Linked DNA regions of Nothobranchius furzeri. The protein of the gene in region 3 interacts with the protein of the main gene of each other region in a biochemical or structural test. Links are inferred from orthologs where the notes say so. Each region holds a gene or a part of one and is shown on either strand. Other genes may lie near its edges. The genes, in order: smarca2, esrrga and nr0b2a.

Region 1 (10,413 bases), on a different chromosome or scaffold from region 3:
ACGGTCAGGATGGTACCACCTCCGCCTCAGTTTGAGCCAGTTGTGTTGTGTTGTGTTTATGAGTCCAGTTGAGGATAAAAAGGATACATTTAAATACATGAATGAAAAATAAACATTTCTAACTGAAGTTTTAAAAAATCTGCATTTATCTGTAAATACATAGAAGTCCACCTCCTTTATAGGTAATGATTTAATATTTTCACACTTTTAATTATGCAATACTTCAAAGGAGAAGCCTTCTACTTTGTCTTCCACATGATTACAGCATAACAATAACGCCAACACAACATACAGGAAATGTATTTAGAAAGTAGAAAGCTTCAGATGATCAGAAATCCAACGCTTTAGGACTTCCGACTCCGTAAATAGCTTTCCACCTGCAGCCAGTCACAGGAGACGCTCTGATTTTTAGTCCTTCCACAGAAAGCAGCTGCTGCGCACCCACGTCGCGTCTTCTAACCTCGTTTAGCATTTATGAAACACTTTTAATACATTTTATTTTTTCCCAGATCTGACTTTGTAAGCAGCACCTGTTCATTAATGAACCATAAAGGTTTCCTGTCGGCTCTAAATCAGTGCTGTTTCATTAATTATGCAGCAGGATGATGTGAACCAGCCACATAAAGGTGATTATCTGGACATTACCACCATTGGTAATTGGTGCATCGCTTCAGAACGCACGTCCACCTCTGACACTTACTCATGCGTCACCTTTCATAATTACAGACACTTTACTCATGATGCAAGAAGGAACACACGTCAGAGTTTATATGTGATGGACCTGCATTCATTTTCACTGAATAACTCCTAGAGCTGCATGATGAAATTTCCCTGAAATAAGGTGAGTAACCTCAGAGGGCCTGGGCCTTTTCTGTGCTACTTACCCGCTGATGATGCCATTCGGATAACCCAGGTGTTCAGCAAAAGACTCCTGTACCAGGAAACATTTACATGTTTAAATATGGAAAGCCTTTTAGGACAGATGATACAATTTCCCTTTTAAAAAAAAAACTCGGAGCTACTACCAAACAAAGCAAATGTGTGCATCACTTCAGAGCACAGCCTTACAGCTCGTGTCGGATGAGAACAGAACCATAACTTTTTAGACTAAAGCAGAAAATCTCAGGCCCGTGCAGCTAAAGAACAGGTACAGGGGAGTCCCACCAGTCCTTTGAAACACATCTAAGCTAGCAAAGAACCAACAGGTAACCCATGCAATCTGCTGTCACGGCGAGAAATCAAAGCAACACGGACGAGACGGCACCTGAGCCGAGACCACACTGTAGGGACGGGGTGTGCAACGTGAAGAAATGCATCAGGTGACTGCTGACATCACGCTGCTGCACAACACACTCTATGCTTTATTTTCATGAATGATGGTGTGCAGTTGTCAGTATGGCACCACATGCATGCTGACGGAATAATGAGGCAGAACCGGGTCGCTCCTGCCACAGAAAACCACCAATCAGCAACGAGGGGCGCCATCATGGAATTAGCAACCACGTTGACGGTTTAATCTCGGCACAAAAACCATGTAGAGGTCAATTATTTAACTCGTTCACTGTCAATGACTTTTCTCCAGCCCTCAGAGAGTACAGACACTTTTTTTCTCAGCTCCCTTATCTGCTTCCCCAAGGCTCTTGTCCTGTCTGCCTACAGAGCACTTCTCTGCATTTCTCCTGAAATCACTACTCTTTTTTGGAAATATGGACTTAATTAACTGGTCATTCAACGCGATTGATAAAATTTTTTCTACGATGAGAACGGAGAAGGGGGTTCCCACCTGTCCCGAGGGGACATATGCAGCGGGATATGCACTCGATTCTTGGGAGGTCTGGCGAGTCGTGTGCCTCTCTCAGTTGTCCATCGAGGACGTGGAAGATTTGTGGATGTTCGGCCTGATGATCGCTGGATTTCTTCTGATTGGAGTGGGAGGATATCTGGTTTTCTGGAAATTTGGGAAGACGGGAGCGATTGGAGTGCGACCCGTGCCCATGGAATGTGCCGCCCGGGCGGTGACCTCACAGACTGGGACGTTACTCGAGGTGAACCGTAAGCTGGACAATGTCCTCGCGGCGTTGCCTGTGTTAGTGCGCAAGATGGATGTCATCTCAGAGAGGGTCGCCGGACGATGTGGGGATGTTTAGAACGTAAAATTGGCTTCACTGGTGGACATGAATGACCACTTATAGACTCCAAGGCAGAGAGGAAAATTATCTCTGCCTGCCCCAAACAAAGTCATGTTTATCCTTATCTGACGCCAAGGCAGCCTCTCAAGGCTGCTTCAACACACCCCCACGAAAGGAGGAATGCTGACAGATGCTGTGCCCCGACCTTCCCCCCCGCCTTCAGATTGTGACTTCTGCTGAGGTCAGCGACCTGCAGGAAACTCAATGTGCTCTCTGTCCCTCATTTCTCCCTCCCACCTGTTGGTCTGCAGCTGGTTGATGCGCCGTACTGGCAGCTCCCGTTGGAGGCTTCAGGATCCCGCCCAGCCCCGCCTCCCCATCGGACTCTGATGTTTTGTATCTGTGCTGTTTGTGCTTCTATGTTGAGGAGTTTTTTTTTTTGTATAATAGTTACTCCCCGCTGGGTCTAACTCTGCTATGCCTTTTTTTACCTTACCCCCAACTATCCTCATGTAACACCCTTGTCATCTATCTATTAAGGTAGTGCGACTCATGTTGCGAATGACCGCAGTCACCAATTCTTGTCATGTGTCTTACCCATGTATGTCTGATCTCTGAATTGTGTGCACTGAAACTCAATTTCGTTTCTCTGCATGTCTTGCACACGTGCTAGAAATGACAATAAAATGACTTTGACTTGACTAAAGCCGTCTTTGGCATTTTTTTTTTTACCGTGTGGGCGTCGGACGAGCCCCCGCACCGTGAGAACAAACATCTCAGCTCTAAAGCTGATCTTCATCCACATACGTCACACGTCACGTGATCAGGAAGCAGAACATCCATGTGTTAGGAGATCGTTTTGGGCCGCTGCTGTAAAAATGTCAGGCGGCGAAGCGGAAAAGCTTCTGCCGATCACAATTCAACAGCGGCAGGGTTTCCTCCAGCGCTTTATAAGCCTGGCGGCCCGCCAGGCTAAGCGTCATACCCCACCCCCCTCCCCAACCCTACCGTGTCCACTGACACGAACGGCGCTACGAAACTAGAGCCCTCCATCAGCTGATACTGGTGAGAAACAGCAGCGGAACGTGTGCAACCCCCGCTCTCACGGAGGAGCGCGCGGGATGTGTCGTCCCAACCGTCACAAACGGAGAAGAAGTGAGTTAGTGTGGCGGAGGGGTGGCGTTTACGTCACAAATCGGGACTTTTTGGAACCAAACACCGACAGAAATGGGTGGCCGGTGTTTTTAGTCACATCTGGAGTGTTTCTAGAGGCAGCAGAAACCCACATGGCAGCACAAAAACAATCCAAAAGGAGAGATTTTCTTCACATGTCCCCTTTACACGAGTCAAAAACATATTTAGTGACAAACTGTGTCGTCGGCGCTCACCTCTATGTGCTGGAACATGTAGGGATGGTTGCAGATCTTCTTCAGCTGCATGATGGTGTTCATCAGAGTCTTGGCGCCTCCTTTGCCCTGCAGCAAATGATCACAGATAAAAGAAATGTAAAGTCCTTTCAAACCAAAACAGAGCCTTTTATCTTGTGAGGGCAGGGATTCAGCACTAGAATAAACTCCGAGTGCATTAGTCAGGAGATTCAAAGCTCCTTTGATGTAAACAGTCGATTAGCGTTAAATCAGCACAAAGGGAGCCCAACGCTCAGTAACCACAGCACAGATTACAGCAGGCACAAACAGGCGGCGAGGCTTCAATGTTTACCTTCTTGTCTTTCTCTGAGCCGTCGGTCAGGAGGATTCCTTTCTGCATGTGGCGGTACAGAACCTTCTGTATCGCAGACATGTCGCACTTTATGACATACTCCACCTGAGAGAAGGAGATGAAGTAAAAGCTAAATCCGCTTGAAGGTGAGGTTGTTCCTCATGATAGTTTCAGCCCTGAGATTAAAGAACTAAAACACAAAGTAAAGGAGAAACTAACGTTTTCATCTGCAGGGAGATCCTTGGAGGTTTCAGCTCAGGAACAGAAGACGTCGGAACAACTTAAAACGTTAGTTAAGACGGTTTCCAGCAGAATGATGTCGTCAACCTATCCCGTGTTACTTTTACCGCATGAAGGTAGCTCAGTGTACGAGTGTCGGTAAAGGCAGAGTTACGGGATACAGCAGAAGCAACCCCAACAGCAGCTGAGGCGTTTCCTACAAGCTTCAGTCGCTGTCTGAAGCTAAAACGTAGCATCCAGGGTCGTTAGCGCTAACAGCCTCTTACGAGGGAGGCTGCGTCTAACCAGACTCTGCAGAGCCGCGAGTCTGCAGGAGAAACACACCACCCGTGTTTTCTACCAGCAGCAGAACGAGGTGAGGCCGACATAACAACGGTGAGTGAAAGAGGAGGGCGGACGTCGCTGTTGCCGCGGTTACATCAGCACAGGAACGAATTTCATCACTAAAATAAAAACTAACCTTTCTACCCAGAAAACGGGGTTGTTATGCTCCTGGTGAAGGAAAGGAGTGATTTAATGAGAAATGAGCTGAACTCGTGTAGCGCCTTTCTGAGTCAGAGGACTCCAAAGTGCTTTACGCTACACGCTGGTGGTGATGAGCTACACCGTAGCCACAGCTGAGCTGGGACGCTCTGACAGAGGCGAGGCTGCTGAGCACAGGCACCAGCGGTTCCTCCGAGGGCTAACTCTTAGCCCCTGAGCTACCGTCGCACCAAACCAGCTCAACCCCAACCTGCCTGACTGTCGCAGGCTGACGGGACGAAAGGAACGGAAACCAGAAATGATTCAGCGACCAAACGAAAGCAAACACCTGCAACAGCAGCTGAACTCACCTTCTCTGGCAGCTGAGACTCCACCTCCTTCTTCAGCCTGCGGAGCAGAAACGGGCGGAGCACTTTGTGCAAACGGCGGATGATCAGGATGGTTTCCTCCTCGTTAAGGTCCACCTGAGCAGGTGAGAGGGGTTAGTGACTCAGGTGTGTTCTGCAGAAAGAAACAAGCTAGGCTAGCAATGCGGGGAGGGGAGGGGCGGCATAGAAAACAGATTCAGGAGATCATTTGGTTTTTGTTGAAATAATAACTTTGAAGATGAATTTCTGCCATGCAGCATCACAGCTGGCTCGCCCTCAGACAGGAGGAGGAGAGACGCGCGGCTCGGTAGAGTAAACAACGAGAAACTAGCCTGTGAGGAAAACTAGCAGCAGATATTTCAATTCAATTCAAAAATACTTTATTAATCCCAGAGGGGAATTCCGTTTCAGGATATTTGATCTGGGAGTGGTTTGGACTTTATGGAGGAAGACTTTGAACAAACGACAGGACGGGATCTGAGACTCATGCTAACACATGCTACCACCGACAAACAGCCACCACGGCTGACCTTGCTAGGACTTTTGCTGATCAACACCATCTGGAAGAACGTGCCGACCGTTTTATTCTGCTCGCTGCTCGGCTGTCAGGCTGAATTAAACCACAACTCAGTGGCTAAAAGCAGATTTTCTACTCCATCAGTGTTTACCATAAAAAACTGTGGCGTTCGAGCTGAAAAACACTACAGTTTTACTGACTTCGTCTGACCCACACAGACCAAACTAAAGTCAGATCTCATAGGAATTCTCCACTCCTGTGATCCTTTTGTTTGCTGTGTGATGAACGAGGACTCTGCTGCTGGAGCTGATCCTCGGGGCTTTGCTCGTCCTCGTGGTTCCTTCATGAGAACTTCTTCAGATACAGAATACCAGAGTAAAGGAGGGTTGTGGGTGTCGAGTATGTTAGAAAGCCGTCATCGGTACGCGTGTGAAGCTAAGAGGCACATACAACATGCCCGAATACATGATGCATCAGGTGGGAAGAGCAGTAAACACAACATCTGCTTCTCCTTTCAAGCAAACTTTCAGAGCAAAATGTAAAGCTGAATAAATTATAAAAGGGGAAAGATATAAGAGCAACACCGACGTCTGAGTTTCCTGCTCTTCCTGCCAAAACAGACATTAATTAAATACACGAAGAAGGAAATATAAAATTAAATAACGGAGTAAATAAAGATAAACAAATATATGTTGTAAATGTGGTGAGAAGCTCGGTCATGCGGGAGGGGCTCGGAGTAGAGCCGCTGCTCCTCCGCATAAAAGAGGAGCCAGTTGAGGTGGCTCGGGCATCTGGTCAGGATGCCTCCTGGACGCCTCCCCGGTAAGGTTTTCCGGGCACGCCCAACCGGGAGGAGGGCTAAAGGAAGACCCAGGACACGCTGGAGGGACTATGTCTCTCACCAGGCCAGGGAACGCCTTGGGATTCCCCGGAGGAGCTGGCCCAAGAGACTGGGAGAGGGAAGTGTGGGCCTCTCGACTTAGGCTGCTGCCCCCGCGACCCGACCCCGGATAAGCGGACGGATGTTGCAATTATTTCCACATTTCCCTCTCGCATTTATGCTAGTGAGGCGGGCGTTTCCACCTCTGGCCATAACATGATTGGTCAGCTTTGAGAAACTGAAATTCCCACAAACTTCCTGGTTCCGTTCTGGGAATTTTCACAGGAAACCAAAAGCACCTACAAGCTTTTCTGTACATGAGCCTGAAATGATGCAGCAAAGCCGGCGTTGACTCGCAGCGTTCCCCGCCTCGCTCTCTCGACTTCCAGCGCTCGTGCCTGACTCCAGGTGCGGAAATAAATAATTACAACATTTATTTATTTTTCTTTTGTTTTCATCCTGTCAAACGAATCACTGGAGCCGCTAAAGCTGGTTAAACATTTCTGTGGCTCTGCCGGTTTCCGTCTGATGTTTCTAGTGATTTGTGAGGAAAATCGGTCCCTCTGGGGGAGATTAAACAGTGAGCCGTTACCCGCTCTCCGGTCATGGCGAACGGGGCGTTGAACCACTGCTCAAAGGTGCTGCAGCTCTTGAAGATGGTGGGCAGCAGGAAGTTGAGCAAGGCCCAGAGTTCAGGAAGCTTGTTCTGCAGCGGCGTTCCGGTCAGGAGGAGGCGGCGTGGAGCCACGTAGTGTGTGTTCAACACCTGGGTCAGCTTACAGTGGTGGTTCTTCATACGATGGCCCTCGTCCACGATCATGTACTTCCAACGGATCTGGAGTGAAAACACAAACTAGCTAAACCCTCAGGGTCAAACCAGGACGAGCTCCAAAGACTCCAGTCTTGATCCTCAAATGAAAACAACTTTGAATTTTATCCAAAGTTTCTTCATTTGTATGTTTTTCCATTCCGTATAAAAATGATCTCAGCTCCTCGTTGAACACGATCACAGCAGGAGGGAGAAAAACAAACTCAGATGTTGCACAAAAGTCAATAAAAGTTTTAAACACATTTCATCACCGTACAGCTGCTGAAATCAGCTTTAAACCGCTTTTCACCGACTAAGAACCAGATAATCATCGTTCTGCTTTAAATTACAGAAGATAAGTTCAGCTGCTTTCATTTCCTACAGTTTAGTTGACCTTTAAAGCATCTGCAGACGACACGACGCGGCCGTAAGCGAGACTAAATTGGATCCAACGTTCTGTAGGTCATTCGTATTTAGCTCATGGCGGAGAAAACTCGCTACCAAAGGTTTCGTTTAGGAGAAAGTAAGTAATAGGGCTGAGCGAGTACACCACTATCTGTATGTGTACGTGGTGTGGGCGTGGCCTAACCCGGAAGTGGGTGTGGTTTACATTAATACATTGTTTTAAGTCTGAAATTGATATGGATTGATCAGAAGTTGCTATGAGTATTGTTTATTTGAAAAGTATTTACAGAACAGCCTCAGAATTGATATTAAATATTTTTGATTGCAATAGTAAAGGAACAATTTTTTCAATAAAATCAGAACATTAATATTTAAGTGCATGAATTAATGCAGAGAGAGAGAGAGAGAGAGAGAGAGAGAGAGAGAGAGAGAGAGAGAGAGAGAGAGAGAGAGAGAGAGAGAGAGAGAGAGAGAGAGAGAGAGAGAGAGAGAGAGAGAGAGAGAGAGAGAGAGAGAGAGAGAGAGAGAGAGAGAGAGAGAGAGAGAGAGAGAGAGAGAGAGAGAGAGAGAGAGAGAGAGAGAGAGAGAGAGAGAGAGAGAGAGAGAGAGAGAGAGAGAGACAGAGAGAGAGACAGAGAGAGACAGAGAGACAGAGAGAGAGAGAGAGAGAGAGACAGAGAGAGACAGAGAGAGAGACAGAGACAGACCCAGCGGAGCGGAGGCAGTGACCGACGCAGCACGAGCTGTCTGTCTAGTCAAATGCACCACGTGCGTTACAAAAAAAATGAACTTTAAATATTAAACCGAGCTGAAGAAAACCTAGGGAGCTCTGAAGAAACGTGAGCATTAGTAAAGCAAGCAGCGAGATCCGTTATTGTCTGTGTGTGTGTGTGTGTGTGGATGCATGGGCCAGACTGAGCTCCCGGCTGCAGAGTTTTGTGTGTAGGGAGGGGCGGGCGCTCTATGTGACTGGCCAATCACAGAGCGTGAAGACAGTCAGTTATCCAATGAGGATTTTCCTTCAGCACCATTACAGATATTTACGAGTTTTACTTGTTTCATGCTCGTATTCGTCAAAAATGCTTTATCCATAACGGATACGCGTCTGAAACGAGTATCCGGCTCATCCCTAGTAAGTATTGATTGTAATATAGAACTTTGCTCATTTGCTTTGATTAAATCTGAAGAAAATCAGTTAGTTCGCCCAAACCAAAGCTCAAACAATGAAAACCGATAATAGAAGTACTGATGAGGCGTGTGAGCAGACCCTCCTTCACCTTGGCCAGGATGTGCTTGTCCTTGATGATGTATTCGTAGGTGGTCAGTAGGACGTTAAACTTCCCGCTGCGGAGCTGCGGCACAAGTCCACGGCGCAAACCCGGAGTACCCTGGAACGGGAGGAAAACACACAGCTGTGTGGGGAAAAACTATCAGGATGAAATAAACAAACAGAAGATTCGCTTTACCTTGTAAGCTATTTTGACCACAGAAGGAGCCCATTTATCCAGCTCATAGACCCAGTTAGACATAGTCCTAGAGAAGACACAAACGCATCACAGGAGGAGTTGTTTACATGTTTGTGGACTGAATTCAGAGCAGTTCTCTTCTAAAGGATGAGGCTTCTGTTACCCGGGGAAGAACTCATCCAGAACACGTAGACACAGGAAGGAAAGGAAGGAGCTATTAAAAGAGCAAGTCACTCCAAATCAACATTATTTTGCTACTCGTGCTGTAGACAAATGTAGTCAATAATTCGGCACTTTAGTGCATCTTAGTTAAAATTTAAGTATTCGGCCTAAAACTGTCATTGAAGCACCGTCGTCAGGTAAAAACTCAGCACTGCATTTGAATTTAAATCTGCCATCGCTATTGGCTAAGAGGTACCCTATGAAGTTAGATGGTACATTATGATGTTACAATGTCGTGAGTGTGTGTATTTGTTAGCGGCTCCGCCCTCTCGGTCTGCTAGGCAACAGCATTTGTTGCAGTTTTCAAACTGAAAGTGGGAGTTGAGTAAGAATCTGGTACCAGAGTATTACTCCACGCACGCGCACAAACACACACACACACACACACCTGCTGACGCTCCGTGTGTGTTTTTATTTGTGCAGTGAGACAAACTCACCTCACACCGTCCAGAGTTTGTTCTTTAAAGAGCAAGTCACCCCCTACCAGATTCTCACTCAGCTCCCACTTCCTGTTTGAAAAATGCAACAAATGCTGTTGCCTAGCAGACCGAGAGGGCGGAGCCGCTAACAAATACACACACACACACACACACACACACACACACACACACACACACACACACACACACACACACACACACACACACACACACACCGCACTGTGACATCGTAACCTACCATCTAACATCATAGGGTACCTCTTAGCCAATAGCGACGGCAGATTTAAATTCAAATGCGCTGCGGAGTTTTTACCTGACGACGGTGCATCACTGACAGTTTTTGGCAGAATATTTAAATCTTAACTAAGATGCACTAAAGTGTCAAATTATTATCTACATTTGTCTGCAGCACGATCAGACACTCATTTATATAGTTTATCAGCAAAAAATGTTGATTTGGAGTGACTTGCTCTTTAAAGCTTCTATTAAATCCACCGTGTTGACGTATTTAACACGTTTCCTCTACGCTGCAGGAGTTAACGTTTACATCACGGAGTAAAAGTTCGGCAGACGCGTTTGTTTATATCCGGGTGGGGGAGGGGGGGGACTCGGTGCTGCACACAGACAGCTGTGTGATCAGCTCCGAAAAGCGTTGATCACAATTTGCAGATCACGTTTATCTTTCACGGAGATCGGCCGCGGATTCCTCTTCCAGTCGGCATTCTAGGAATCGAAA
Region 2 (10,413 bases), on a different chromosome or scaffold from region 3:
GAGCAGAGTGGTGTGTGGAGAGCTGCGACTCGGTTTGTGAATGAGCTAAAAATGTTCCAAACAAGCATCCAAACACAAGAGGAGTGACTGAAAGACTGTTAGTTCCACAGAAAAATGGGAACAGTTATTAAGCTTTTTGGGAATTTTCAAAAGTTTGATTTCATCTTCTACAAATTTGTATATTTATAAAAAAACTGTCTGATAACTAACACACCTCAGGTCTTATTTGTCCTTATTTAAATAATTTTTAGCTTCACCAAGTGCACAAACACTGTTACGATACTATTCCAGGAGGCCGGAGACGTCTGTCCTCGGCAAGTTCAACAGACGGTTAAAGTTGTAGCTGAAACAGAAGGGCCATCTGTAAACAAGGTACGAAATTCAGGAACCACCAGAAAATGTTTGAAGCGGTTGTTTCCAGTCCTGGTCTGAGAAGCTCTCAGCGTGGCTGGCTTTCACAACAACCACAGAAAATGTAAATGCCTGTCAGAACGGGGAGCCAGGCCCAGGACTGAGAACCACTCAGAACCAGAAACAGATCGGGATGTGACAGTAAAGGTAGCAGGCCTCCTCTGAATGGATGATTCCATCCTTTGGCTGGGCGGATCTCTTCTTTTCTTCCCGTCTATCCATCCGGACTCCTCTGTACAACAAATGTCATGAACACTTTCCAAGTGTTCCTCATTCATTTTCTTCTTGAACACAAAAAAAAAACTCTTTTTGGTGACATGGGTGGGGGTGGGGGTGGGGGGCACAAGTGCAGTCTTACAGTCTTTTAACTACAACATAATTTTCTATTGATCTTTTAAAGGTGTCCTCATTATTGTGTGTCATTAATAACATCTTCATTTTTACTCGATGCATAAGTCTTTGTCACAACCTGGACATGCGAGTCACTGTGCGTAATGTCTTGTTCAGTTGGTCCAAGGGGAGGGGTCAAGTCCAGCTGTCCACACATTTCCCCCAAAACAGAGAGCAGTGGACGCCCTTTAGTCAACTAGTGGCTTGGGGTTCAGGTTTTGGGTCTAGATAGATTCTTTAGTCATAGAGCGATAAAATAGCCAAGCAAACCGTGTGTGTTTGTCTGCGTGTGTGTAGGAGTGTTTGCATGTGAAAGAGCAAGAGGTCATTCAAGTTGTTGATCAAAGTTTGAGACGAAGCTCTGGTGATTCAGACTGGTGTCTTCTCCTTCCCTATCCTCACACCTTAGCTTCCAGCAGCTCCAAGAAGAGTTTGTGCATTGGGACTTTTCCATCCTGCTTGATGCTGTAGAAGTGCTGCACAGCCTTGGTGGAGGTCTGACGGAGCAGGGGGAGGGTCATGAGCAGCTTGCCCGCCCGGCGGGGATCCTCCTGGTGTTGGGAAGCCTCATAGTCCTGCAGGGCCTCGTGGAGCACGTCCTGGAGCTTCTGCACTGCATCAACATCCTCAATATGCATTGAGTCTGGTGAGAGAGAGGAAACGTCATGTTAGAGTAGTAAAATAAAATTAAATAAATAAACAGCACTGACTGATGCCCAAATATAAAACTGTACTGTAAATAAAGAGATTTTGCTAAACGGTTGGATTTAAACTTTAAACATAGTTTGTTCTGATTTAGTGAGCAGCAGAGCCTGCATGTGCTGCTGTGTTGCTCAACAGCATGCTGATTTTGTCTGGGAGGGGCCCGTGGCTTGAACTGAACAAACTTAATCTAAAATCCAAGCAAGAACAAAGCAGAGATTCTCAACCGAATCATATGTTCAGGTTGAAAATCCAATAAATGTAAATTCTATTGACTTTCTATTGATTTTGATGTCTGCGGCAGAAGTAACCACATTTGCATTTAAATAAAAAGCATTCAAATTTGTGATTTTGTACACTTGAATAAAAAACAAAAACAAAATTAAAGGCAGGAATGGGGTTTATCACTAAATCTAGTCAGGCACTCATCTTACCTCTGTCTTTAAAGTGTGCATGTGTGGGTGTGATGAATGGACAGGTGAAAAAACGAGGGGGAGGAGAAAAAATAGATGGACTCCTAGAATGATGAAGAGACGCTGCAACACCTAATAGTGTTTTCTTGTGTGTGTGTGTGTGTGTGTGTGTGTGTGTGTGTGTGTGTGTGTGTGTGTGTGTGTGTGTGTGTGTGTGTGTGTGTGTGCGTGTGTGTGTAGGTGCATGGCTGCAGACATCTGTAATCTCTCTGAGTTGGCGTTAGGTGTGTTTCAGCATGTACGGCAGTAAAGGATGAGAATGTCTCTCAGTAATAATGCTCCGTATCGCCCCTTAGGGAGGCAATGTCTTAATGTGAGCTGGCCTTTAGCTCTCAACCTCCGATCAATGTCTCCAATCAATGATTACATACATGTTAAATAATAATCACAAGCCTACTATCAATGGCCTCATCCGCACACTCTTACAAACTCTAACTCCACTTATAAGGACCTTTTCTTTAAGACTTTAAGGTTGTCATTTGGTACCAACAGAAACTCTGTCCAGACAAACATGCAGGCTCTCTCAGGCTCAGAAAGGACTAAAAGTAAACAAACCTCTGCACAGAAAGTAAGACGTGCAAAATGAAAATAAATAAAACAGATGAAATGAGTCAACACAGACACTTACACAGATTCACCAGCAACACAATCAAATGCACAGACTTGGATCTACGGAGTGTAATGCATGTATCAGTATGCAGGACCCGACTGGTCAGTGTGCTAAAATCTGGGAGGATCAATAGAAAGCTCGGCCTCAGAGTTTTGGCTTGAGGTCTTCTGTTGTATTTTTCCCCCTTAAAAATGTAGCAGTTGAACTAGGTTTTGCTTGTTGGATACGATCAGCAAATGCATTTTAGTCTGTTTAATGTACTTTTTGTTAAAATAACACCCTTGTGTTGGAACACACTAGAATTAATATGAATATTCTTGCAAAAACAATCCTCCACTCCGATTAAAGCTGAACGAGTATCGCATTCTTTTGTTTGTTATTTTAAAGCGTGCCGTCTAAGCTGCCGTTCGTGGCTTTTGCCTGTTTGACCCGCCGAACACTGACAAGTAAACCAGCAGGCGTTAATGAGCACAAGCAGGCTGCTGAAGCACACACGTTAACATGAAACTTGCACACACCACCGTGCGCGCACATACACAAACACACACGTGTGCCTTCTGTTTCCCATGGCCAGTTTAGCTTTCTTTACATGTGGGGCACGTTTGCTAACATTTCTTAAGGCTTGGCTTCATTAATGCAAACGATTAGCATCCTGTGAATTAATTAGTGTCAGTGCCCTTCAAAATGCTAATGCTAGCATTCTGTTGTCTTGAAGAGCAGTTAGAGCCGAGGCAATGAAACAAAGTTCTTACTGTATGTGGAATTCAGCCATTTTCGTTGGCTAAAGAAGTGAAGATTTTATGTCTTTGTCACTTTATGTAAAGATGTTTTTTATACAGTTGATCCTGTCGAAATGTTTTCTTTTGAGGATTCTCTTTTTTGTGGGGATTTTTTTTCACGATTTTCAAAATGTGGCTTTTTAATTAAAAAAAAGAATAAATGATGTTGACTGTTAAATTTATATTTTGTGTGCATGCATGCGTGTACACGCACACATTGATTGTCACACAAAGCTCAGGGAATAACAAAGTATCAATATTTTCTGCATTTGCATATGGAGCACTAAGTGTGATGAAATCACTTCTACAGTAAGTTTAAAAATCCACTCATTTTCTACAGTCGTAATATAATATCAACATCAGAGGAAATAAATGGTTCAACTTTAAGTTTCTATGTTGGTTTTTGTGCTTGTTTGTGAGTGTGTTGATGATGGTGACATTAAAGCCCCCCCACCTCCTCTGTGAAAGCTGTTGCACTGCATTCTCCTTTTTAAACACATCGTATTGACAGCTTTCCCCTTGTAATTAAAGAGTACTGAAGAGCTGGCCAGCTTCCAAGACAAAGTTCAAAAGATGGGTCATCAGAGGAAGAAGGTGTGTGTGTGCGTGTGCGTGTGTGTGTGTGTCAGTCAGCTGTCGATGCAGCTGGACACATCAGAGGCGGGGCTGTATCGACAGATTTAGAGTTCTAATGATTTCACTTTATTTAACAGGCATCTGAAGAGACAACTATGCTAATTATTAAAAGGGATTGCCACTTTGTCTGGGGGTGGAATTCAGTCTGAACACATCTGTGCACGTTTGTGCTTAACCGCATGCTAGTGGCGCATGCATAAAACAAAAATATGTGTAGGCGCATGTTACATCTGTAGCATGACACGACAACCGTGCGGGTCTACAGTGGAAGTTGGGAAAGTTAACTCATTCTTGTAAAAGGAAAAAAATAATTGTTATGAGTACATGTGCATCTTCTATAAGAGTGCGTTTGCATGCAGACTACTGAAATCACTTCACTGACGTGTCAGCTTAAATGAGCCTCGTGGGACTGAAGGTTCCTGGGATTGACTCTCTTCCAGCAGTCTAACGTGCAAACAGACAAGAACAACGTCTAACCTGAGTTTGCCAAGGCGATGGCCTTTAAGGTGACAAATTCCTCCTTCTCCAGTTTTACAGCTTTGTACTTCTTGACCAGCTGAAGGATGGCGTTGTTCAGGTCAAGGAGCCCAGCTAGTTTGGACTGGTCCTCATCCATGATGTAATCCTCCGCATACACCAGCTGGAGGAAAGCACAGAGAGCGTGACCCTGGAAAACTTAAAGCAGTGTATTTGATAACAACAGGAAAACAGAGATGGAACACGTACCTTGTCTTCAAACGACAGTGAACGGTACACGACGCGCAGAATTAATATCTCCATCCATGCACTCTGAAGTAGACTCATCTGGTCTGCTAAAGAAAGCGTGGAGAAACCTGGTGAAGAAAGAGGACTGAATGAGCACAGATGTTTTTGTTTTCTTGACCTACAATGCAGCAGAGTTAAGAAGTGATTTTTCCCCTTGTTACTAATATAAAAATAACACATTTTGAGCATTTTGTAGAACCTACATAGATGCCAACAGTAAAACCAAACAAAAAAGTTAGAAAATAAATAGTAGAAAAGTTTATTTAGTGAGAGATTGAAGAGCAACTCTGCTCTGTCTCCTTTACTCCCCCATCCATATGAGCCCTCCTCCTCCTCCTCCTCGACTTCCTCTCTCCCCTTTGCCCAGGGCTGTTCCCTGGGGGATGGCAGGTCTTATCTCCGCCTGCCACAGCCTCCACAGATCAATGCTGGCCATCGTGGCAGCACTGCTCAAAAACACATGCTAATTGTTGCTGTTGCCTCAAAAACGCTGTTTTCTTTAGTGTCAGTCTTGGCCCTGTTATCTGCTCGTGTCAGTCTATGATTGGCCATTTGTTTGTCTGATTCTTTTCATCTTGATACATCCTGACCTGAATGTCCCGTCTGTTCAGGCCAACCTGCTTTCCCAGCTGTGATTTGATTGCTTCCTGTTTTTTCACGTCCTTAAGTCTCTCACTTATCGTCTACGCTTCATTCTCTGGCTCTTTAATGGAACACCTGCCCACTCGCACCTCTCCTCACAGCTGTCTGCTCCTCACACACCTGTCCGTTCACACACGCCTGTCTGCGTATGTGTGTTTTCTGTGAGTGCACAGACAGTAGGCCACGCAGGCACACCTGTTGGACCTCGCTGCAGACTCCCAGTTTGTGTGTTCATGTGAATCTGAGAGGAGCAGCCTGCCAAGAAATGCAAGCAGATGAGAAAGAAGGTCTTGGTTCAACAACATCTGCTGCAATGGGCCTCCTCTTGAGATGCAAGGTGTACGAGGGAATGTGTGATGATGAGTTTGAGGGTGCAGGTGCACATTAGAAGCTCCTATCTTACTGTGTGTTGATGGGTAATGGCAGGCGTCTCATTATGTCCAGGTTGCAAGCTATTGCTGCTTGCAATGAGCTTTCTGCCAACTCACTATTATAACATCCAACAAAGACACTTAAAATAAAACACAGATACAAACATGCGCGTGCATGGACAAATGTGAACAGGAGTAGGCTGGAATACATCCAAATGTGTATGAATGATACACACATGGCTCTGTGAAGGAAGCAGTATTGTTGCCAACTGGAAGTACCTTCGTCTTCCTAATGAAATCATCAGAAGGGATTAGAGGTACGTTTCTTAAGGGGGTTTTTGTACACCCACGCATGCACACAAAGAGCAGATATCTTTAGGGGGTCTTTAGTGCCTTCTCACTCATTTTGGGCTCAGGAAATATGAGCTGGCATGTTTAAAATGATCACGCAAGCTCTTATTGAATCTGTTCAGCCCCAAGGTCTAGTGAAGAGAGGAGGGCATGTGTGAGGGGTTAATATCATTTAATAGTGTCACTGGTTGTGTGTTTTAACTCCTCCATGGGTGTTTTCAGCGCTCTAACTGGCAGTTCCCTTTGAAGGAGGTTGTCTCAGAGGTTAACACACACACACACACACACACACACACACACACACACACACACACACACACACACACACACACACACACACACACACACACACACACACACACACACACACACACACACACACACACACACACACAATTGAATTCCTCAATTTCTTAGTGTAGGTATATTAATGCAAAATAAAGGCTTAAAAAGTGAACCACGAGCACCACAGGCTTGTCCAGAACACATCTGAACAAAGTCAAAACAAAAACTGTTAACGTCATCAAAAAGTCTGCATATGAAGCTCGTTATTAATAAGAGGATATTCACCATCATCGATAAACGCCTTCCCATCTAATTACAAACCAAGTGCACACATGTTTACACACACACACACACACACACACACACACACACACACACACACACACACACACACACACACAGAGAGAGAGAGAGAGAGAGAAAACACCAATAATTAAAACCCTAATTAATTTATTGAGCTGAACTGCAGCGGTTTTTATTGAGGCACATCAATGGTTTTTTATCATTTTGAGGTTTATGTGTGTGTGTGTGTGTGTGTGTGTGTGTGTGTGTGTGTGCGTGCGTGCGTGTGTGTGTGTGTGTGTGTGTGTGTGTGTGTGTGTGTGAAAGCATTTTGTGTAATTCTAAAAACAAGTACGTATTTACATTTTGCATCTGAACGTTAAAAAACACCACTGTTGCATTTAAATGGCTGGCTTGTCTTTTATCACTGTTTGCCTGTATGCATTCCCATACATATTTTCATAAGTATCTGCATGTGTAACTCCATCGGTGTGTGTGTGTGTGTGTGTGTGTGTGTGTGTGTGTGTGTGTGTGTACCACCCCCTCTCCCCTCCCCACCAGTCTGTCTGTGCCGTTCAGCCATCCAATGCCTCTTATCTGTCTGATTAATAGGCGGCCGGCTTCAGGACAAATTAATTAACAGATAACACCATCTCTCCCTTCTTCGCTCCCCCCTCCTCCCCTCCTTCTCATGAAGCGATCGATACAACAGAAGAAAAGAAACATCAATGGGAATTTAGTGCTGATGATGGAGAGAGAGAGGGGTATTGATGGAGAGGTGGAGAAGAGATGAAAGTAAAGGGAGGAGAGGTGGAAGAAGAAGAGGTGATGCTGGAGGTGGGGAGGGGCGGAGACCTTTCTTTCATACCTGTGATTTCACTTGACAAAAGAAGGTTCCTGATTTGGCTCTAATCACATTTCCTTTCTGCTCATTGTTGATAAGACATCTCACACAAAGTGAGGAAGTACGAGTGTGTTGTTTGCGTTACGCTGTGCAAATTTGTTGTCTTGGGTGCCTGACTAGCAGTGCAGGTTTCAAATGTGTACGAAACAATAGTCTGGAAACATTTAAGAAGTCATGAACAGACTTAAACTTTTGGAAGGATCAAGTTTTAGGTTTTCCACAACAGTCCGGCACAATGTTCATGACACAGAAACTCTTGATTTACTGATCGATCTACGTTCCAACCCTCACCTATGGTCACAAGCTTTTGGTAGTGACCGAAAGAAAGAGATCACAGATACAAGCATCTAAAGCGAGCTTTTTCTGCAGGGCGTCTGGGTTCTCCCTTAGAGACAGGGTGAGGAGCTCTGTCATCCGGGAGGGGCTCGGAGTAGATTAGCTGCTTCTCCACATCGCCTCCCTGATGAGGTTTTCCAGGCACATCCAACTAGGAGGAGACCTAAAGGAAGACCCAGAACACGCTGGAGGGGCTCTGTCTCTCGCCTGGCCAGGGAACGCCTAGGGATTCCCCTGGAGGAGCTGGCCCAAGTGGCTCGGGAGAGGGAAGTCTGGACCTCTCTGCTTAGGCTGCGGCTCACGCATCCCAACTCCGAATAAGCAGACACTAATAGATGGATGGATGCTTTAGGTTTAAAGTTTTGTTTCTGAACTAAAATACTCGAATTGAGGTCAAGTAACTGTGTCATGAACTTCACATTAATGCTTGAGTTTCAGTGTAATTTCGAAAACAGAACGATCTGCTACAACACCTATGAAGGGGCCTAAAGAAACGATGTGTGCACTGGCTTTCCTGACAGAAAGAGGCTAAGGTTCAGCCATGCAAACTTAACCTCTGCAGTTTGTTCTTCTGGGCTCTCTCTTTTCTTTTCACTTTTCTCTATTAGATACCCCCCCCCCCCCCCCCCCACACACACACACAGAAACACGTCGACTCCCCAGCCACCCTGCGGCCTGTTTGTCTGCCAAATGAGTCCTGACTGCACGTTTACACCCGAGACCGCACAACAGTCTGGCTCAGACACACACACACACACACACCTACAGGATAGCCCTCTCTCATGCTCCAGTTGCTTCACAGATGCACACAAACGCACATATCTAGGAGCCCTATATTTGTTTTGTGTGGTTACAGGGCAAATGGGAACCAGTGAGAAGCGATTGATGCTTATGAGGGTGTGTGTGTGTGTGTCTTTTCTTGTACATTTATACAGAAATGTGTACAGGTATGTGATTCCAAGAATCCAAGAAGGTACACCGTGTTTCTGCATGTGTGTAGCTAGAATGCGTGAAAACTGGTGACAGTTAGAAACACACGACCAGTCTCCACATTCAGGAATCCAGCTGGTGAATTTTTGGGCTTTTTTTTTTCTTATTAGGACAAATCAAATATAAATAGGTAACTGTACCCATTCAGATTTAATCCAATTACATATTATAAATGAAGTATTACATTTTTTAATTCTTTAAAATGTTTTGTGTCAACATGTTTACCCCTTGTACAGGAAGTTATGGGTTTTACTAAAACGTGTGCACGTCATCAGTGAACTGCCAGCACAGAAGCAGGTCAAACCAGTGCCACTGGGCTCCATCTGATGCGAATGCGCCAATGACTGACTTAATCCCAGTGTGAGATTGCAGTTTAGATTAAATAGAGGTGTTTGTGTATTATGAACCTTGAAAAGGATTATTTTTTTATTAGAAGAGTGAAAAAGGTTTTAGCAGCTAGCCTTTGTAATTGAATAACATAAAGGTAAATGCTGACTAGATTCCTTTCAACTGAGTTGTATAACCACGACAACGCAGCCACTAGCAGCAGGATCACAACACACTTGAGGATGCATTAAGGTACAAAATTAGTCGCAGCCTTCCCCCAACAGACTTGTAACAGCTGAGCATCTCTTTTGGAAGTCCCGCTCTCTGCTTTACTTGACCACAGCCATGGGACATATTTAACAAAAAACTTTTCAGACTGTCTGAGCAATGAGACAGCAGTGATTCACACTTCTATCAAAGCCTGTCTGCTTTAAAGTTTGAGGCAGCTTTAAAGCCTGTAGCTGGAATGGTACACAACAGTAAAACTCCTGATGCACTGAGAAGATCCAGGGAGTTACTTAATAAAACGTGGTGTGATAGTGCATCGTGGCCTAAAGCTCATACACAAGAAAAAACAAAACTAAACAAGGATGTGTTATTTCTCTAGACAACATGCAACAGTGCTATGACAGTGTGATGAGCTGAAACACCTCTAGCAAATAAAGGATCTGAACACGGGTTCTGTTGCAGGCAAAGTACCAAGAGCAGAAGCTAGTTCATTAGATGAACACATTTAGTAGTATTTTTCTCAATACAGTACTGGTAGAATACTACTGATGATTTTACCTTTTTCTGCAAAAACTAACAGATTTAGCGAAGCGATCTTATCCCAACACATCCCATCTTTATGTATCTAGGTTTGTTTAAAGAAGACATGAGGAGTTTTGATTGTTTTGTTTTGTCGAAACTCAACAGATGAGAACCGTGGATTTGTCTGTGTTCAGCATGTGCATGCATTGTGTTCTGCAGGGGACAGATTTAAGCCTACTCACCCGCTGAGACAGAGATTGCATGAAGACACGTGAAGTTTCCAACAGCTACCAGCACATTGCTGCCCCGTGTGTATGAGTGTTTTTAGTATCTATGTTCACTGCTCTGCTGTACGTGGCTCCCATGCGCTCACTTATTATATGTGTGTTTTTTTAAACGTGTGCATATT
Region 3 (10,185 bases):
TGGAGATCATCAGCACAACGAGCGCCCCCGGTATGCAGAGAACAAGTACGGTCACGGCAGAGGACACCCACGGAACGGCACGGCCCGGAGCTCAGAGACTATAGGATTTATTCCAGGGTCAGCAGACAGCGTGCCCACCAGCAGGCCCACCTGTGGCTCCTGCGCTTCAAGGGGCTGGAATAGCTGCAAGGCTCTCCTCTGTTGTTTGCTGACCTGTGGCTTTTACGGCAGCCGGGAGCCCTGTCTGCCTGTTAATGAAAGCTCCACCGACCACCCACATAAAATGGGCAGTGAGCCTCCTAATGGCATGGCCTTGAGCAACCCAACACGTGACATCACCTTGGAACCCAAAAAACACTCCAATTTACCTGCAAATGAAAGCTTCCGATACCAAGATGTTCGCTTCAGGGGGGAGATCGTAAGTTACCCGGTGAACGCCCCCAAACGGACCCGTGCACCTGCTAAGGGGGAGAGCCAGCGACCGGTCAGCAACACCAGCCTGCTGTCCAACGACTACTACGATCTGGACGACCCGTGCGACAGCACGGATGTGGACTCTCTCATCACCAAGAAGCTGCTGGAGCTCTACGCATTGCATCAGATCGAAGAGCTTGCCAAGTGCACATCCGACCAGTCCTTCTCCCGCAAAACCAACGAGATCAGCGAGCTCATCTACAGCATCGCCCAGAACTACAACCTGGAGGAGCAGGAGGCCGAGTGCAAGCTGGTGCACGGGGTCATCCGCATCAGCACGAGGAAGACGAAGAAAAACCCCAGCCACAAACAAGCGGCGCAGCGTCCCAACGGCAGGAACGACGGGACGCTCCCCGACAGCGGCACCGAGACCATGACCTTCATGAGCAGCGACTGTAAGAGTTGCATGACACCGTTTTTGTCTCGCAGTAATAATCGGTGCAGTAGACTTTTCCACTTGTCTTGTTCAGCAGAAGGCCAGAAATAACAAACATCTGACCCGTTTCCCCTTCGGTGACTCATCGTGTCTGCTGGGACTCTGCTGTCTTTGTTTATAAACCCTCAAACACAAAGCAGTTTACAGGCCTATTAAACAATCTGCTAATCCGAGGCAAGTTGATACAAGTGCGGAAAACCCAAAACCTTGTGAGAGCAGATGACCGGACTATTGATCACACTGGAGCTTATTGAGGGCCCTTAAGAGGCCCTCTGTGTTTGCTTTGCCACATTTCATTTCTGCGTCTATTTAGTTCTAATTGTGTTACAGATCCGGAGGTGAAAGTGTCTGAGCGGACGCCGTCGGATGAGCTGGCCAGGAAGATGAGACCTTACAGTGGGAGAAGTGAGTGCACCTGGGAGTTTTCCATGACGGGTGTACTGACCCGTTTTTTGTCTGGAGAAATTCGGGTGTAAAATTTAGCGTTCCTCCGTCTGTGATTGTCTGCATGGTGAGGCTCCCATCTCCCCTAACCATTGTGCCGTCTGCAGCTGCAGGCTTTCTCTCACCTCCTCCCTACTTTCCAGCAGCACACTTCTCTAACAAACAGCATTCCTTCTCCTTTTTCTTCGCACATTACAGTCCCACCTAATGCCGTGCCGGTCTTCCAGGCTCTTTTATCCCCCCCACCCCAGCTCAGCGGTCATGCTACACCTCCCGCTAAAGCAGCAGATCGAGTCACATCAAATCTACACCTTGTAACGTTACGTCATGTTAGCAAACAACTTGGGTTACTAATAAATTACAGTGCAACTGGCTTTTTTTTCTCCCTTCAAACTTGCTTTTTAGCAAACAGGCAGTTTAAAGGTGTCTGGTTACACGCCTCTGAATGAGGGTACAGCACGTTGTGTTTCTGCAGCTTTCTCACTGCACGAACCCTCCCCGTGCAGATGATGTAGAGCCCTCGCTGTTTGAGTTGTTTAATTGTACAAATGTTGCTTCTCCACCAGCGTATTCCTCCAGCACCGCCACGGTCTCCTCGCCGTACCATCACGACACAGGAAGTCACTCGTCAGGAGCTCCTCTGCTCATCTGAAGAGACTTGATGTGCTTTTACTGCAGAAGGGTGTCACCCGACTGCTGTTGCTACTGCCATGGATGCTGTTACTGAGCAGAGCACCGTTCTCTAGATGGTTACAGTTCTCCAGTGAGAGGAGAAGACACTTTTTGCTATGAATTGTCCCCCTGAACAAAGGTGTGTACGTTGTTTTTTGATGTTTAGGTAAACCTGTGATCAGTGTTCTAAAGATTTAGACTTCTCTGAAAACATCAGTCAGCCGTCAGAAAGCCACAGGATCAAACCCCGTGGTAGGTCATAACCGTCCTCCTTCCTTTTTTAGTTTTACAAGCGTTGTGTTGTCTGAGCTGATCTGTTACCGTTTCTTTAACCTGAGATGTTTTTTTTTTTTTTTTTTTTTTTTTTTGCTGCTGCTGCTGATGTTTAAGCAGCAGAACTGTGCTGAAGCCATAACTGTTCTTGAAATGATGTTGCATTGTGCCGTTTGGTGTCTTTTTTTATATTACCCAAAAAGTTGTATTTTAAAAAAATAAACTAAATTCTTGTGTTTTTTATTGCATATTTAAGTGTGTTTATGTTCTCTTGCAGCCACAAGTGGAATACTGGCATATTAGTGTAGCTTTCATACACCAAGAAATCATTTTTCATTCGAGTTTCTTCCTCTCCAGCTCACTTTTCCTTTTTTTTCCGAATCTGGGATTGTTGCAGGCTCGTCTCCGAGGTCAGCGTTCTAGCAGGTAGAGGCTTTTTCCGCCCTCAGCAAAAGGAGGAACTCGTTTGGCTGGTTCTGACAGAAAGGAAATAAAATCCCGAGGTTTGTCTTTGTCATTCATGGAAAAAGGAAAGAAGCAATTCCGATAACTAGACTTGCTGCAGGAGCCTGAAGAGAATGAAGAGTTTGGTTTCTGGTTCTAATCTGTTTTAGGACGCGTTGATCGTTGTTTCACGTTTTCTTGTTTCTGCTCAAATGAAGATGTTCAGTTTGAATGCACCGGGTTCTAAGTTTTCAGTAAATCTAGCAGATTACAGCCACCTTATCCTAACAACTCCAACATTTGGATGATTTCATATCTGCTGAAAAGAAAAATTGCTGCAGCAACAAAAATGTGTAGTTTTTTTCCACTTTGCACTCGATTTGAAGCATTTTGGACTCTCCTTTTGTCTTGTTTGTGTTGCCGTTTCCACGCGTAACCCCATTTCCACCGGCTCACCGCCCCCACCAGCACATTCCTGTTTTACCTGTACGAGTTGTCATGTAAAGACAGGGTTTCACAACTAACATACCACAAAGTAGGATGACTAAGCCTGATTTCTCAAATAACTACATGCAGACAGTGTTTTTTTATACTGCGCTGAGTTTAGCGTTCGTGCCATTCTGTCCCTTTTTGTGACGATGGGGTGGGGGGATCTTGATGCTGTGGTTTTGTGAGAAATGCAAAAGTAAGAAAATATTTGCCGCTAGTCTTCTGAGAAAAAAAAACTTCCACCAAACGTCCTCTAGAGGGAGACACAGCACAGCAGTACAGGCAGAAAAAAGGTTTTCTGTTCCATTTGAAGCCACAAATGTGTGTTTTCATTCTAATTTTAGATTCTCTCCTTTAACGCGCAGGCTTACGCTTGACTTTCTGAAAAGTTTGCTGAGCACAACATGTAATGGAGGATGGATCCACGGATCGGACTCAGTCGTGTACAAAAATATATTTATTCAAGTTTTCTGGAAATGCAGATGCTTATTTACAGCAGAGGAGCTCATCGACACGTAGGATCAAAACTCAAAAACCTCTCAGGAGTTCTGCTCAGACGGTGAAGTGACCTCAGCTTCAGCGGACGAAAGTCAAAACCCTAGTGTGCTTTATAGAAGCCTCTAAAGCACGCTGCATGGAGGTCACCATCCCGAGGACCACCCCTCCCATCGGCTGAAGAGCATGTCGACCAGCAGCTCCAGCAGGTTGGCCTGGCCTATCACAGGCCTGAAGAAGAGTTCGGTGATGAGGCTGGGTGTGATGCCCTGCAGCATGGAGGCTGTGAGGAGGATCCGAGCAAAGCGCTCCTGGTTGCCAGGGTGAAGCAGCTGGACCACCTCGCTCAGGGCGTGCTGAGCTTCCTGCTGCAAGCCTTCGACAAACAGGCCTGCCTTCAAATCTGGTACATCTGTTTGAGAGAAAACCAGAATTGTTGCTTGACAAACGAGTCCTTGGATTATCTGTTGTCTGAATCCAGTTAACGCAGTACATACCTGGATTAAATATCGTGGTCCCTTTCAGGTAAGCGTACTCCTTTGGGCTCACATCTAGACTCCAGAACTTTTTGAGACACGACTTGAGTTTGCTGATGCCTGCCATGGTTGGCTGCTCCCGCTCTGTTTCAGGGCTCTCCTGGCAGTTCAGGAGAATCTTCTTCAGCATGCTGTCAGCAGGGACGTCCGCCACCTCAAAGTCCACGCGCTCCTGGGCCAAACCCAAAATAAAAAGTGGCACCCAGCTGCTTTTAAGTAGTGCAAACTGGTCACTGGGTGGCAGCTGGTTAAACGCTGGCAAGTTCTTCATGAAGTGGACGGTTTTCACCAGAACTGCAGACGCCTCTTTGCAGACCACAGACGGCCTTTTTAAGCACACTCTCCGCCGCGTCTCACAGTTGCATCTGTGAGGAACGGAACTGTGGCTGGAGGTGTCTGGAGTCGGTCTACCGCTGTCCATCTGGCTCAAGATGTTGTAGAGGATCGGGTTTAACTGCCTTTGTTTGTTAGCGGAACACTGGCATCTGTTATCCATCTTTCTTCGATGCGGCTGCTCCTCTGAACCTCTTCTCTGCCACGACGGGCTCCGTCTGAGCTTCTGAGAGCTGCTGCTTCCTCCAGTCTTATTTATAAGGCCAACCCTCCCTTCTTAGTGGACCTTGAAATGTCAATACACCCAATGTGAAAAACAACCGCGCGCTCTGCCAGGTGACTGCTGGAATAACCCTGGGAAACAGATAAGCTTTTCTCATTGAGAAGTAGCTGCTGGAGTCACACATGGATATCAAGTGGGATTGGCCTTATCTGGAAGGCAGTGTCATCAACCCAGGCAGTACCAAGCTACCAAGGACTGCAGAGGTAATCAGCCCCACGCTGTGTCACTGCACCCGCCAGCTCACACCTGTAGTGCTGGAAGGAGGCCAGACCACAAAGGAGGCCGTTGACCTTCACATCGTGTTCTCATCAAACGTAGTTTAGTTTAGACAAACGTTTCCAAACCGGGAACAGTGGGAATTATGCTTCAATTTTAGGGAAACAGTAGTAGTAGCATAAAACCACCAAATAATTCCCGACCACAGCTGCAGTTCTCCGCTCCCCACGGGGATGGGTCAAATGCGGAGATGAATTTCAACAGTGTGTGATGACTAAAGGAACTATTGAAATGATTCCAAATGACTTCGGGAAGAATATAAAACAAGTTCATCGCTGTAGCGAGCCCCCTAGGGGCAAGTTGCATTGATAGCTTAACCTGTAACTCTGGGGTGGGAACAAACGGTAAAATGTACACTTAATGCATCTAATCCTCAGAAGTCCCAAAGCATACTTCAACCTTATAACCACTTCACCTACTAACCTTTAAAATCGGACCGGCTAGCAGCAACGCGACTCTACCACTGACTCTGTTTGCTCTTCAACGTTGATGTTTTCTCTCCACAAATAACACGAGCCTGGAGGAGGTCTGCTGTGTGGTGGAGTTGCTTGTGCTAACGTTAGCTTCTACTACCTCTCTGCTGTTTCCTGGATGCTAAGCCAACAACAGCCGCGAGTCAAGGAGGGTGAGTCCATGAATGTTAGGTGACAGCGTGGCGTAGATCTGTCAGGCTTTTCAAATCCTAGGTGTAGGAGACTATTTTCATGTTCAGCATGAACGAAACACTCGGAGACCGATTATAATCAGAAATAATAATTAAAACTTTTTTTCAGTGTTCCACACCGTTAATGGATATCCATCAAGATTTGCGTTTTAATTCTGCCTTTTCGATCTTTAACACGATTATTACACAGAAGATTAAAAGGTTGTTTGTGTGATCGTAAGGGTCGTGTGTAAGACCAGTTTTTCATTTGAAACATGCACAGAAGTGTTTGTTAGTGATCTGGAACGTAATTAACCCGTTTTACAAATGTCTGCTTCTATAGTTTCTTTGTTTGCATTTGCTTTTGCCCAGTTCCTGAGTAACAGCTGCATTTACGTAGAAGTTTTTGAACATGTTTATTTTGCTGTCAACACATTTGAAATGAAATGAGGCATTCTAACTGCAGATGTTCCGTTTGTGAGACAAACTTATCTAAAAAAGCATCTTGATCAAAAAAGAAATAGTGTTATTGTTTTTACAAATGTTACATTCTCTTGTTGTTGGCCATTTCACAACTAATCTCAATAATGTACATGTTTTTCTTCAGTTCAGATTATTTATATAGCTCCTAACTCAGCAGACGGCATCGAGTCACTGACTAGGTCTTTGCAGCAATCCTCAAAAGCAAGTGTGTAGCGACAGTGGGGATTGGGAAGTCAGCGCAAACACACACACACACACACACACACACACACACACACACACACACACACACACACACACACACACACACACACACACACACACACACACACACACACACACACACACACACACACACACCAAGTGGTGTTCCTATGGCTAGATTGTGATTTCTTATTAAATATTCTATTTAGTGAGAAATAAACTTTATTGTCTTTATCTGGGTGAATCTAATGGGCCATTCCCATCTGTACCGGGTCGGCCCGGGCCGGGTAGCCCCAGTCGGCCCCAGCCTGGCCCGGTTGATTCCACACATCCTTGCCTTAAGCCCATGTGGGCTGATTCTACCCACCAATCAGAGGCTTGCTCTAATGGAAGGTGTGAATTTGCTGTCAGCAGTGGGTGTGTTGGCCCTGGTCGGCCTGAAGCAGACCCCCTTGAGAAGAGGGCTGAGAATGAGCCTTGGTTGGCCCGGAAAAATACCAGGCCACCCAGATATGTAAACAACCTACGCTACCCGGCCCGGGCCGACCCGGTACAGATGGGAATGGCCCATATAACTGATTCAACAGGTGAACTAGTAGTAGCACATACAACGTTAAAGAGAGTAAAATGTTATTAATAAGAGAGGGAGTATGTTAAGTAGTTAGCAGCAGCATGCTAGCCGGCGGCCCGCTCCATGAGGCCACCACAGCTCAGCAGAACACCGGTGCTCTGCGTTAAGTTGCATCCATGTGCAATCAACCATAACAAATCATTGGATGGCCCAAACACACAAAGGATGTTTGCATCAACCTCAGTTTAGCCAAGTCTTCTATAAGAACATAACAAAAGGGACAGAAAATTAAGCATAGCTTAATAAACATAACAGCATGAACATAAGATGTATTTATTGCCACTACATCACCTTCTGCAGGGCAAACATGAAACATGAATTGTACAAAAGGGTGGTGCAAAGTTCTCAGCTATGAACATACACGTACAACGAAAGGGACAAAAAGAGATTTTAAATGTGGTTGGTTGATACGCAGGTGTGGGTTATTCCTGGGGAAGAAGTTGAGTGGTCTAATGGGATCTGAGATGTTTGTCAGGCTTATGCCGCCTTCGGTTTTATATTATACAGGTAAACCGGCAGGAAAATAAAGATCTAACCAACGATGTTACAAACGGGAAATGCTACAGATAGCTGATTCTCCTTCAAATGCAAATGACAGTAAACTTTGTTAAAAGTTGTGTTGTGCAAAACTTAAAACATTGCAAAGCCTTATAAAATAATCTTTGCATAAAACTTATTTCTTTAACTTTGCGTTGTTTTAAAGTCTCTTTCCGGAGTATTTCTCTTATCCGATGGCACCATCTAGTGGCCGACAAGCATATGACACAAAAACTCTCGCTCTGTTTTTTTTTAGATGGCGATTTCCCGTTTCCGTTTATAAATGTGCTTCTGTAGCCGACAAACAGCTGAAACGTGTTGTTTTACGAGTATTATTCTCATGTCAGGCTGTGTTCTCATTTATTTATATTTTAAAGTCTTACTTGTCCGTGAAAAGTTCATCAAATCTGCATCAGCCGAAGTATTCCTTAAATTTGAAGCAAGTAAGCGCTCGTCTAACGCTATTGGTTAGTTCTGGTCGGCGCTCAGTTTCCTATCGCACGGAGCTCTGCGGGGCGGGGGGCGTGCTTACATTATATCACAGTACATGATCAGATAATCACTTTTACAGATTTCTGACAAATCATACATCATTTCTGAAAGGGGAAAACTCTGGAAAGCAGCTTTAAGTATTTAATAAACTAGCTGTTAGCCTAACAGTCTGGTCAGGAATCGTCTCTATTGTTCCACACAGAAGATCTGAACTTTCTGAATCACGTTTGACTTTAAAAACCGCTCAGGCCACTGGGAGCTTGTAGTGTTTGTTCTTTGTAGAGCAGGTTTTATGTCATGATTTTATTCTGTTGGAGTGTCAAGGAGTCGGAGTCACGGCGTCTGTAACGGGCAGTACAACGTTTCGCCATCCTTCTCCGTGCCTGGCACAGAGGTTCCAGACTGATAAGGAAATGACTTTATTACGGTCGCAAATAAACACAACTGTCAAATAAAAGAGATCTTTGAGTTGTAAAAGGGATCACCGCATTCATAAGTCATAACGTAAACCATGGAACTGCTGTTTTTATTTGACACGAACCGTTAAAGTATCCGAGACTCGGAGGAGGTGACCCGTCGAGCGCTGGAGTCAAGGACAGTTTCCAAGTGTATGACTGCAATAAAGAGATTAGACACCAGACACAACTGGCAGCACCAGTCACCGAATCTTAGTTTTATTGCATCATTCCATTTACTCATTCCTTGAAAAATTCCTCTGGAAAATGTTTCCTAGTCTCCTTTTCTGTTCCCGAATTATCCTCGTGGCCAATAATGCGAGATCTGAAACAAGTCAGGATGAGGCACGAGAGCTTCAGTAAAACACAAAATCATCACGAATGTGAGACTTTCTCCAGAGTTGACCTACAAAACACTCTGCAGCCCTCAAGCGTTGTGAAGCGCGATGACAGCTGTAAAGTCCTGCGATAAGGCCCGAGTTTATGGAGGTGAGGAGCAGGCGGAGACAAGCACGGAGGACACCAGCTTATCTCTGCTGCCAAAGAGAAAATAAAATGTCCTTCATACTGTAAGAGGAACAATCTGCAATCAAGGAAGCAAACGTGATGTAACTCCTTAATTCAGAATCGAATTTCCACTCCTGTGAAAATATTTACAGTTCAAGCAGAACTATCGGTGAATCCCACTGACACTCAGTTTGTTGTCCCAAAACGTCTCCTGAGCAAAGGCTGCTGTGTATTCCCACTGGGTCAGTGAACTCACCATGCGACCAAATGTGTGTGTGTGTGTGTGTGTGTGTGTGTGTGTGTGTGTGTGTGTGTGTGTGTGTGTGTGTGTGTGTGTGTGATGACCGTCAGATGTAGAACAGGACTCTGTCTGGCTCCTGTTTTACCGGGTCATCACCACAAAGATCAGTTATTTAACCTGGAAGCTCAATTCATAGAATTGAATCCACACTTACATATCTACTTCTGAGCATGTTTGTGTCAAATTACAATGATTTATTAAGGACTCAGTTATCAGTATGCTAGTGAAGGTTTTCAGTCATCCAGTGTGATGGATGTCCAAAGGGTTCAAATGAAGGCAACTGGACTTCTTTGGTTTCTTGAAGATGTTTTGCCTCTCATCCAAGGAGCTTTGTCATTTCTGAGGGTCAAGCTTAACCCTCCCACTGTCCTAATGGGTGTGACCCCGCAAGGAAAGTTGACCATTGAGCAGAACTGATGGTTTATCCCTTGAGGTCCACGTGGCAGGGGTGAGGTGGTGCTCACTCCTCACCCCTGCCACTTGTACCTCAAGGAATAAACCATCAGTTCTGCTCAATGGTCAACTTTCCTCGCGGGGTCACACCCATTAGGACAGTGGGAGGGTTAAAAACTGTAGCTGTCTACAAGCTGAACTACCTAGACGTGTCCATCCTCACTACCCCATGAGGAGTCATTTATGTCGTTATGTGTTATGATGGTTGTTTTGGAATTGGGTTTAAAGCTGCACTGTAGGTTCCACCCTTCCAGCACCTACAATGCAGCTCTAAACCCAATTCCAAAACAGTTTCAGCTCGTCAGGCAACAGACAGTTTCTAAA

The links.
Region 1: the proteins of nr0b2a (region 3) and smarca2 form a complex in vitro, tested with the Homo sapiens proteins (2 studies listed by BioGRID). The link is inferred for Nothobranchius furzeri from reciprocal best matches to the Homo sapiens genes NR0B2 and SMARCA2.
Region 2: the proteins of nr0b2a (region 3) and esrrga form a complex in vitro, tested with the Homo sapiens proteins (2 studies listed by BioGRID). The link is inferred for Nothobranchius furzeri from reciprocal best matches to the Homo sapiens genes NR0B2 and ESRRG.

What each region holds. Positions count from the first base shown.
Region 1 is NC_091750.1:37,857,775-37,868,187, reverse strand, and holds part of smarca2 (probable global transcription activator SNF2L2), read right to left. Parts: intron 9,083-10,413; coding exon 9,016-9,082; intron 8,938-9,015; coding exon 8,827-8,937; intron 7,172-8,826; coding exon 6,929-7,171; intron 5,036-6,928; coding exon 4,922-5,035; intron 3,954-4,921; coding exon 3,849-3,953; intron 3,605-3,848; coding exon 3,518-3,604; intron 932-3,517; coding exon 885-931; intron 1-884. UniProt on the Homo sapiens protein: ATPase involved in transcriptional activation and repression of select genes by chromatin remodeling (alteration of DNA-nucleosome topology).
Region 2 is NC_091749.1:33,776,442-33,786,854, reverse strand, and holds part of esrrga (estrogen-related receptor gamma a), read right to left. Parts: intron 4,835-10,413; coding exon 4,728-4,834; intron 4,642-4,727; coding exon 4,479-4,641; intron 1,445-4,478; coding exon 1,200-1,444; 3' UTR 1-1,199. UniProt on the Homo sapiens protein: Orphan receptor that acts as a transcription activator in the absence of bound ligand. Binds specifically to an estrogen response element and activates reporter genes controlled by estrogen response elements.
Region 3 is NC_091745.1:40,690,723-40,700,907, reverse strand, and holds nr0b2a (nuclear receptor subfamily 0 group B member 2a), read right to left. Parts: upstream 5,199-10,185; 5' UTR 4,760-5,198; coding exon 4,225-4,759; intron 4,140-4,224; coding exon 3,874-4,139; 3' UTR 3,672-3,873; downstream 1-3,671. Other genes in the region: kdf1a (keratinocyte differentiation factor 1), read left to right, coding at 1-869, 1,241-1,315, 1,921-2,006. UniProt on the Homo sapiens protein: Transcriptional regulator that acts as a negative regulator of receptor-dependent signaling pathways. Specifically inhibits transactivation of the nuclear receptor with which it interacts.